2 linked regions of the Oryctolagus cuniculus genome follow. The protein of the gene in region 1 binds, or shares a complex with, the protein of each later gene. Links are inferred from orthologs where the notes say so. Each region holds a gene or a part of one and is shown in the gene's direction. Other genes may lie near its edges. The genes, in order: SMARCAD1 and TRIM28.

Region 1 (3,904 bases):
GGCTGCAAACTGCTGGGACTGGGCCAGACCAAAGCAAGGAGCCCGGGATTTCTTCCGGGTCTCCCATGTGGGTGGCAGGGGCCCAAGTACTTGGGCCATCTTCCACTGCTTTCCCAAGGCGTAGCATAGAGCTGGATCAGAAGTGGAGCAGCCGAGATTTGGGCCTTGCAGCCATGTGGAGGAGCCTGAAGAAGCTCCTGGCTCTTTGTCCCAGCTCCAGCCATCGCCGCCATTTTAGGGGTAAACCAGCTATGCAAAATCCCTCTGCCTCTTCCAGTCGCTCTGTAAATCTGCCTTTCAAATAAAATTAATCCTTAAAAAAAATAGATTGCCTGCTTGGCCCTAATGTTGGACAACGGGAGTGCATATTAAGGTAATGTTTCTGGCAAGATAAATGAATTGTAACATTCCACTGTAAGAACGGTCTGGCCAACAATGGGGAGCACGGTCAAACGCTTAAAGTTCAACAATACCGGACTTTCTTTTCCCTTACTAATTCCTTCACATTTGAAAGCCTCAGCTGCGGGGCGGAGCAGTGCGGCAGTAGCTTACCTGCTGCCTGGCACAAAGGACCTCTGGTTCTGGACCTGGCTCCCCCACTTTCCCTCCGGCTCCTTGCTAAGCTCCCGGGAAATCGGCCGGAAGACGGCCCCAGTGCCCTTCCACCCACTGGAGCCCCGCTGAAGCTCCTGGCTTCCGGCTTCGGCTGGGCCAAGGGGCCATTACATTAGGGAGTGAACCAACAGATGGAAGATCTCTTTCTCTGTAATTCTGCCTTACAAATAAATAAACCAATCTTTCCAAATAAATAAACCAATCTTTTAAAATTATATTAAGAAGGAAAGCCTCCATTTCCTTATTTTGTACAAATAGGTTTCTTAAAAGGATTGGAATTATTAAAACAGCACAATAGTCTTACGCTATCTATATTATAAACAGGTTATAATATGTAAAATATATGATGTAGTATGGGTATTTATCCTCACTGTGTTATTTTTATTGTTCTGTATAACACCTTTGCACCTAACTTGTAGAAACAGTTGTAGAAACAAACGGGCAGAACAATCCCACCCTTTAAAAGCAGGGGAAGAGGCTGGTACGAATTACCATGACAACGGCGCGCGCCTCGACATTTTTCGCTGGCGCGTCGCTTGGGAAGAAAAAAGCCTCGGCTGCGTATTGCGTCATCATTACGCGCTCGGTAGGGCTCTCAGGGGTGTTTTGGAAGGTCCCGCCCCGGCTACCGTCGCCTCACGCCAGGAATAATTTTTTTTTTTTTCTTTTCTTTCAGTCTTTGTTACATCGCGCAGAGCCTGCACGACCGTAAGTACTGATGGAAGGAAGAAAGAGAAGGAGCGAGAGATGCCCCAGCATACTCTCCGCTGAACCTCCCCGTGTGTTCTTGCTTCTGTCAGCTTCCTCTCAGCTGGGATCGCGCCGCGTCAACTTCCGGGCGGGTGCCCGCCAGCACGGCCTCCGCCGCTCCCCTCCTTTGGCCCCTTTGTGTCCCCGCAGTGTGGAGGCGCGGGCCCTGGCAGGTCCTTTCTCGAGGCAGGGGGCACCGTAGTGCAGGGAATCTCTGTCTGTGGGCGGGCACGCGGCCCGCTGGGGGGTTACACTGGGGAACGTGCCTGCGCGTGCCGGGGTAAGAGGAGGTTGCACGAGGGTCAGCTCGTGGTTCGAGTAAGGAGGGGCGGGAGCGGCGGGAGGGGCGGGGTGGGGGGGGCGGACGGAGGAGCGTGCAAGGCAATGGAAATTTTAAAAAGACACCACTGTCCACCTCCCGATCCTTGTGGCCTAACAATGAATCGCAGCCATAATAGTCCAGAGCCACTGGCATGTTTGCGGGCCCTGTATTGCCTTGGAAAGGAACTGCTGTGGCTTTGTAGTCTCTGTTTTCATGGCCTCTTTTTCTCTTTTTTATTTTTTTTTCCCCCCTGCGGATAGTTCATTTCAAGTCCCCGGGCCCCTCAGGGTGATTCCTGCCACTATGAATCTTTTCAACCTGGACCGTTTTCGCTTTGAGAAAAGGAGTAAAATTGAGGAAGCGCCCGAAGCAACCCCACAGCCCTCCCAGCCTGGCCCTTCTTCACCAATTTCTCTTAGTGCTGAAGAGGAGAATGCTGAAGGGGAAGTTAGCAGGGCAAACACCCCTGACTCAGATGTAACTGAGAAAACAGGTGAGTTACAATGTTGCAAATTGGTGTAGCATCAAAGAATAGGTGGTGAAAGATGAAAGGCAGGAGCCAGTCTGGTTGCTCTGATGTCACACATATTGATGCATTGTCCTCCTGATTACCCTTTAAGGCACAGCTTTGGGACTGCCTTAGTCACTGTGCCTCCAGCTGAGCTCCCAGCCATTGTTGCTTCTCTTAGATGTGAGTTCTTGGAATGTGGCCGGGTGATGGAAGTTGGAATCAAAATTCGGGTCATCCTGAGGTCAGAGTGGCTACTGGAAGAGGAATGGAGGTGATTGAACCCCGTGATTGACTTTGAGGCTGCTAATTTGGCTAGAGGTTTTCATTCATTCTAGTATTCCTTCAAAAAACCCTAGTGATCAGTATGACGAGCCAGGTGTTCATCAAGGCGTCTGAAGACAGTCTCTGCCCAGATCTGATCAGATACCATTCACATACTGCCCCCGCCTGACATCGTGGGGGTATCAAGAATGCAAGTGAATACTTGATATTCTTCGTGGTGAACGAACCATTTTAACCTCATCAGCAGATTGTCATAGACAGTTGGGATTTGAGAATAAGCCAAAAATTAAAATTTCCATTCTGATCTGTTTTTTGAACAATAGAGGAATATATTGGGGCTCTTGCTGTGTTTTTAGGCATTGTGCTAAATGCTTCATATTGAGTCACTTAATATACATAATAAACCTACTAGTTATTATTCAAAATTTGCAGAAATGACACCCAGAGATTAAGGACTTAGTACAATCTGAACTCAAATCCAAACAGTCTGATTGCTGACCACAAATGCTTAATTGTTACAGTATGCAGTTTCTCATGAAAGGTGAAAGGGATATTAGAAGTTTTATTTTAATGCTCATTTCAGTAACACCTTTTTGGGTGAGCATGGCTTTTTTTCACACGCGGCTTTTAAATTATTGTGGCCTGTAGAATTGGAAATGTGTGCCTTCATCATTGATATCTTTTGTTGGCTGCTCTGCCATGTAAATGAAACGGTTGTGGCCGATTCTCTACAAGTTCTTGGTGGGATGATTTGGTCGATCGGGTTAAGAAGTGACTAGAAGTCAAATTTCCAAAGACTAAGGAGTTGGCTAAGGAGTTCTGAGCTTGTTTAAATACTATAGGTCAGGCTGTCATGGCGGCACAGCAGGCCCACTTGCGTCGCATGGAGGAATATCTCCCATGTGGAGGCCAACATGGAGTTCTGGGCTCCTGGCTTTTGCCTGGCCCAGCCCTGGTGGTTGGAAGCATTTGGGAAATGAACCAGCCGATGGTAGACCTCTCTTTGTTCCTTTCAATAAATAAATAAACTTTAAAATGTTATAGGAAGCGTATTAAAGGATTTTAAGCACAGACGTGACAGAGCAGGGAAGGCAAGGGTATAGGCAAGCCTCTGCTTCATCTTAATTCAGCATGGGACATCAGAAAAGACACTTAAAATGTGAAACAGTTTTTTTAATCTCTGAAAATGAAAGCACTTTGTAAAACTGGATTTCAGTGGAATGTTTTAGTCATTTACCAGTATTGGTAAAATGAAAATTTTACCTCTTATTTTAAGATGTATTTATTTATTTGAAAGTCAGAGTTACACAGAGAGAGAAGGAGGGGCAGAGAGAGAGAGAGAGAGGTCTTCTATCCTCTGGTTCACTCCCCAATTGGCTGCAATGGCTGGAGCTGCACCTATCTAAAACCAGGAGCCAGAAGCT
Region 2 (3,904 bases), on another chromosome or scaffold:
GACCCTGCTTCAGGACCCCCCCCCCCAGACAGGACCCCCTCTGACAGGATTCATCTCAGACAGGATTGATTCCTCCTCCGACAGGACCCTCCTCAGGATTCCTCTGCAGACAGGATTCCTCCCCCCACACCCTGCTTCCCTCCTCAGACAAGACCCCCCCCCCCCAGACAGGATTCACCTGACAGGATTGATTCCTCCTCCGACAGGACCCTCCTCAGGATCCCTCCCCCCACACCCCCCACATCCTCCTCAGACAGGACCCCCCCCCCCCGACAGGATTCACCTGACAGGATTGATTCCTCCTCCGACAGGACCCTCCTCAGAATCCCTGCCCCGATTCTGCTTCCCCCCTCAGACAGGACCCCCCCCTCGATTCTGCTTCCCCCCTCAGACAGGAGCCCCCCCCGATTCTGCTTCCCCCCTCAGACAGGATCCCTCCCCCGATTCTGCTTCCCCCCTCAGACAGGACCCCCCCCTCGATTCTGCTTCCCCCCTCAGACAGGACCCCCCCCCGATTCTGCTTCCCCCCTCAGACAGGAGCCCCCCCCCCCGATTCTGCTTCCCCCCTCAGACAGGATCCCTCCCCCGATTCTGCTTCCCCCCTCAGACAGGAGCCCCCCCCCCCGATTCTGCTTCCCCCCTCAGACAGGATTCCTGCCGGCTCCCCGCCAGTCTCTCGGGATTCTTCCCAGACCCTGTCTCTCTCTGAGGATTCCGCACTTCTCAGATTCAGTTCGCCCACCTGGGACAGCTTGGAGTCAGGGCAGCGGCAGGGCAAAACACGGGAGGCTAAGCGAGATTTTATGGACTGGGGGCTTTGCAGCTTGCAATTTAAGCAAGTTTTGTTTCTCAAGTTTAACAATAAAACGTTAAAAACCCCGGAGTAAGGCTCCGCGCGCAAACCGCAGCTTTCACGTTGCTCAAGTGACGCCCCTTCGCCCCTCCCCGGGCTCAGCCTTCCCCTAGCCTTGGCCCTGCCCACTCCATCACACCCCGTCCCCTCTCCGGGTCAGCGGGTGCCGCAGCGGCCGAAGACAACCGCACGCCGGGAGAGGGGCGGGGACTGAGGCGGAGGTCGCCCCGCACCGGCTCCAGGGCGTTCCGGAGGCGGAGTCCGGGGCGGGGGGCGGGGCGGGTCACGTTTGTAGGACTCGAGGCCACGCCCCACGGCGAATCAGGGCTCGACTGTGACGTCACAGAGCCCTGCCCCTCACCTCACTAGCCGGCCGAGGTGAGGTTGGCGGTGGTGGGAGGGCCCGGCGCGGGCGCGTGCGTACTCCTGGCCTCGCCCGCGGCGACCGGCCAGGTCCCGCCCCCGGGCGTGCGGCTCCGAACGCGCGTGCGCGGCGGCGTCGGCGCCAGTTATTTCTGTCCCGCCCCCAGGCCGCGGCTCTTTCTGAGAGCGGGCGCGCGGGCAGGCGGTTGTTCGCGTGGCGCGTGGCTCGGGTCGCGGCGGCGGCTGGTTTAAGCGCGGGTGCTGCAGCGGGAAGGCGAGGAAGCAGCAGCCCGCAGTGCCTCGGTATCGCCCCGCGCGCGGCGGGCAGCGGCCCAGGAGACGCGTGGCAGCGCTTGGTCTCGCGGCGGCGGCGGCCCAGCCGTTGGCGGCGAGCGCGTCTGCGCCTGCGCGGCGGGCCCCGCGCCCCTCCTCCCCCCTGGGCGCCCCCGGCGGCGTGTGAATGGCGGCTTCGGCGGCGGCGGCGGCGGCGGCCTCGGCGGCGGCGGCCTCGGCCGCGTCGGGCAGCCCAGGCGCGGGCGAGAGTTCGGCGGGCGGCGAGAAGCGCGCCACCGCCTCTTCGGCCTCGGCGTCAGCTTCGGCCTCGGCCTCGTCGCCCGCGGGGGGCGGCGGGGAGGCGCTGGAGCTGCTGGAGCACTGCGGCGTCTGCCGGGAGCGCCTGCGGCCGGAGAGGGAACCACGCCTGCTGCCCTGCCTGCACTCGGCCTGCAGCGCCTGCCTCGGGCCCGCAGCGCCCGGCGCCGCCAACAGCTCTGGAGATGGCGGCGCGGCGGGCGACGGCGCCGGTGAGTACGTAGTGGCTGGGGGCGCCCCTCCCCCTCCCCGCCGCCCTTTATCCCGACTCTGGGAGATGAGGGGGACCGCCAGGCCCCGGATAGGGCTTGAGGAATGGGTTCTGGGCCCTCCGTGGAAGACCCATTGTGGGTTTCGCGGAGGCTTAGCTTGGAGAGAATAACGCACAGGGAGGGAAGGATGAGCGCAACCTGGATGTGGGCCGGCGGTGGTCTCACGTCCCGTCTCCCAACAGTGGTGGACTGTCCTGTGTGCAAGCAGCAGTGCTTCTCCAAAGACATCGTGGAGAATTACTTTATGCGCGATAGCGGCAGCAAGGCTGCCTCCGACGCCCAAGATGCAAACCAGGTACGTCCTGTCCCAGCCCAGTAGGTTTCTGGCCATGGGGAGGGGGCAGAGCCGTGGAGGAGCCTGGACCAACTCTAGGCATTATCCTCGACATTTCTCAAGGCTCTGGGGTGGGTCGAGGTATCCACATGAACGTGGGTTTGTATTTTCTGCGTTGCAAATGCAGATCTGTCAGGCTTTATTGGATTGGTCTGACCCTACCTTTTCCTGACAGTGCTGCACTAGCTGTGAGGATAATGCCCCAGCCACCAGCTATTGCGTGGAGTGTTCCGAGCCACTGTGTGAGACATGCGTGGAGGCACACCAGCGGGTGAAGTACACCAAGGACCACACCGTGCGCTCCACTGGTGCGTGAGGCGGCGCTGCCTTCCTATGTGTGCTTTCAGCTGCTTGTAGTGCTGATTCCGTTTGGTGGGCAGGTCTTAAGATGGTTTTCTGAGTTGCAAACACCAGGACTCCAAAGCATGGATGCTGGGGAGAGTTAAGGCCGCAGGCTGGGAAGTCACATGCTGTAGTTGTACAGAGGGTTTGAGGACTTCTCAGGGAAATGCAGTGGGGGGCATGAGTCCCAGTAGTGGAGACTTCAGGGTACATAGACAGGGAAAGGTAAGGGAGAGGGGTGCTATGAATTTGGGGCTCTGGCACCTGGCTTGAGAGTGTTGGGAAAAGGGAGGCTTCCAGGATAGGGCAGCATGATAAGCTGCTCTGGGCCCTTGGGCTGTCAGTGCTGGTGAGACCTGTAAATGTTCTAGCTGTGAATACGCAGTTTAGACTTCCTGAACGTTTTCTGGGTATCTGTTGGCTTTGATATGGAAAGGAGCTTGAGAATCTCCTGAATCTGGCCAAGGTTTTGGCCCAGAACCCTCCCATGAGGAATATTTTGGTGGTGGTACTAAGGTTCCTTCAAGCCCAGAGAATAGCACTTCAGGAAGATGGGGCGTAGAGGTGCTGGCTTTAGGGCCTGAGAAAGCAGGCGGGATGGGGTGGGGTCTGCAGGGATTCTAGATTCCGGAGGTTCTAGGCTAAGGTTAGGGTGAGGGAATGGGCGCATGTCAGTTGGGGAAGCCAATTTCTGGCTGAGCCGTGTTCCGATGTGAGACATCTTGTCTTTTTGATTAGCTCTGGGGAGGAAAGGGACCCACGTGCCTGTTGAGGTTTATTAGCGACAGGGAGCTGAGTGGGGCGGGTGGTTTGTGTGTGTCGCTGGAACATGCCTGTCTGTAAAAGTTCCCATGAGAGGGAACAGTGGTGGGGATGGAATTCCCACTTTGAAGTTAGAATAACATCTTCATCTTTGCCTGATTGGGGCAGAGGGTTCTGGGAGCAAGGACCCGGGGCTCTCGAGGTGCTACCAGTACATGGCCTAGGGTCCCAGGACAGGTGGGAAGTGAGGCCTCAAGCTCTGACTGCTACCTGAGGTGCTCAAGAGCAAGGTCCAGCCTCCTGGTTTCTACTCTGCAGGGCCGGCTAAGTCTCGGGATGGTGAGCGTACTGTCTATTGCAATGTGCACAAGCATGAGCCCCTCGTGC

The links.
Region 2: the proteins of SMARCAD1 (region 1) and TRIM28 are in contact, whole or in part, in a crystal structure (PDB 6H3A), measured with the Homo sapiens proteins. The link is inferred for Oryctolagus cuniculus from reciprocal best matches to the Homo sapiens genes SMARCAD1 and TRIM28. Residues at the interface, in NP_001362784.1 of Homo sapiens: Asp156, Leu157, Ala160, Lys161, Gln163, Thr164, Glu167, Leu168, Phe169, Asp188, Gly189, Ala190, Ala192, Leu196, Ala201, Gly202, Gly203; in NP_005753.1 of Homo sapiens: Arg330, Trp333, Thr334, Lys337, Ile338, His341, Leu376, Lys377, Ile379, Val380, Asp381, Val383.

The regions. Positions count from the first base shown.
Region 1 is NC_091439.1:71,275,888-71,279,791, reverse strand, and holds the start of SMARCAD1 (SWI/SNF-related matrix-associated actin-dependent regulator of chromatin subfamily A containing DEAD/H box 1), read left to right. Parts: upstream 1-1,192; 5' UTR 1,193-1,323; intron 1,324-1,358; exon of another isoform or gene 1,359-1,645; intron 1,646-1,947; 5' UTR 1,948-1,990; coding exon 1,991-2,180; intron 2,181-3,904. UniProt on the Homo sapiens protein: DNA helicase that possesses intrinsic ATP-dependent nucleosome-remodeling activity and is both required for DNA repair and heterochromatin organization.
Region 2 is NC_091449.1:99,130-103,033, reverse strand, and holds the start of TRIM28 (transcription intermediary factor 1-beta), read left to right. Parts: upstream 1-1,273; 5' UTR 1,274-1,676; coding exon 1,677-2,019; intron 2,020-2,261; coding exon 2,262-2,374; intron 2,375-2,588; coding exon 2,589-2,721; intron 2,722-3,835; coding exon 3,836-3,904. UniProt on the Homo sapiens protein: Nuclear corepressor for KRAB domain-containing zinc finger proteins (KRAB-ZFPs).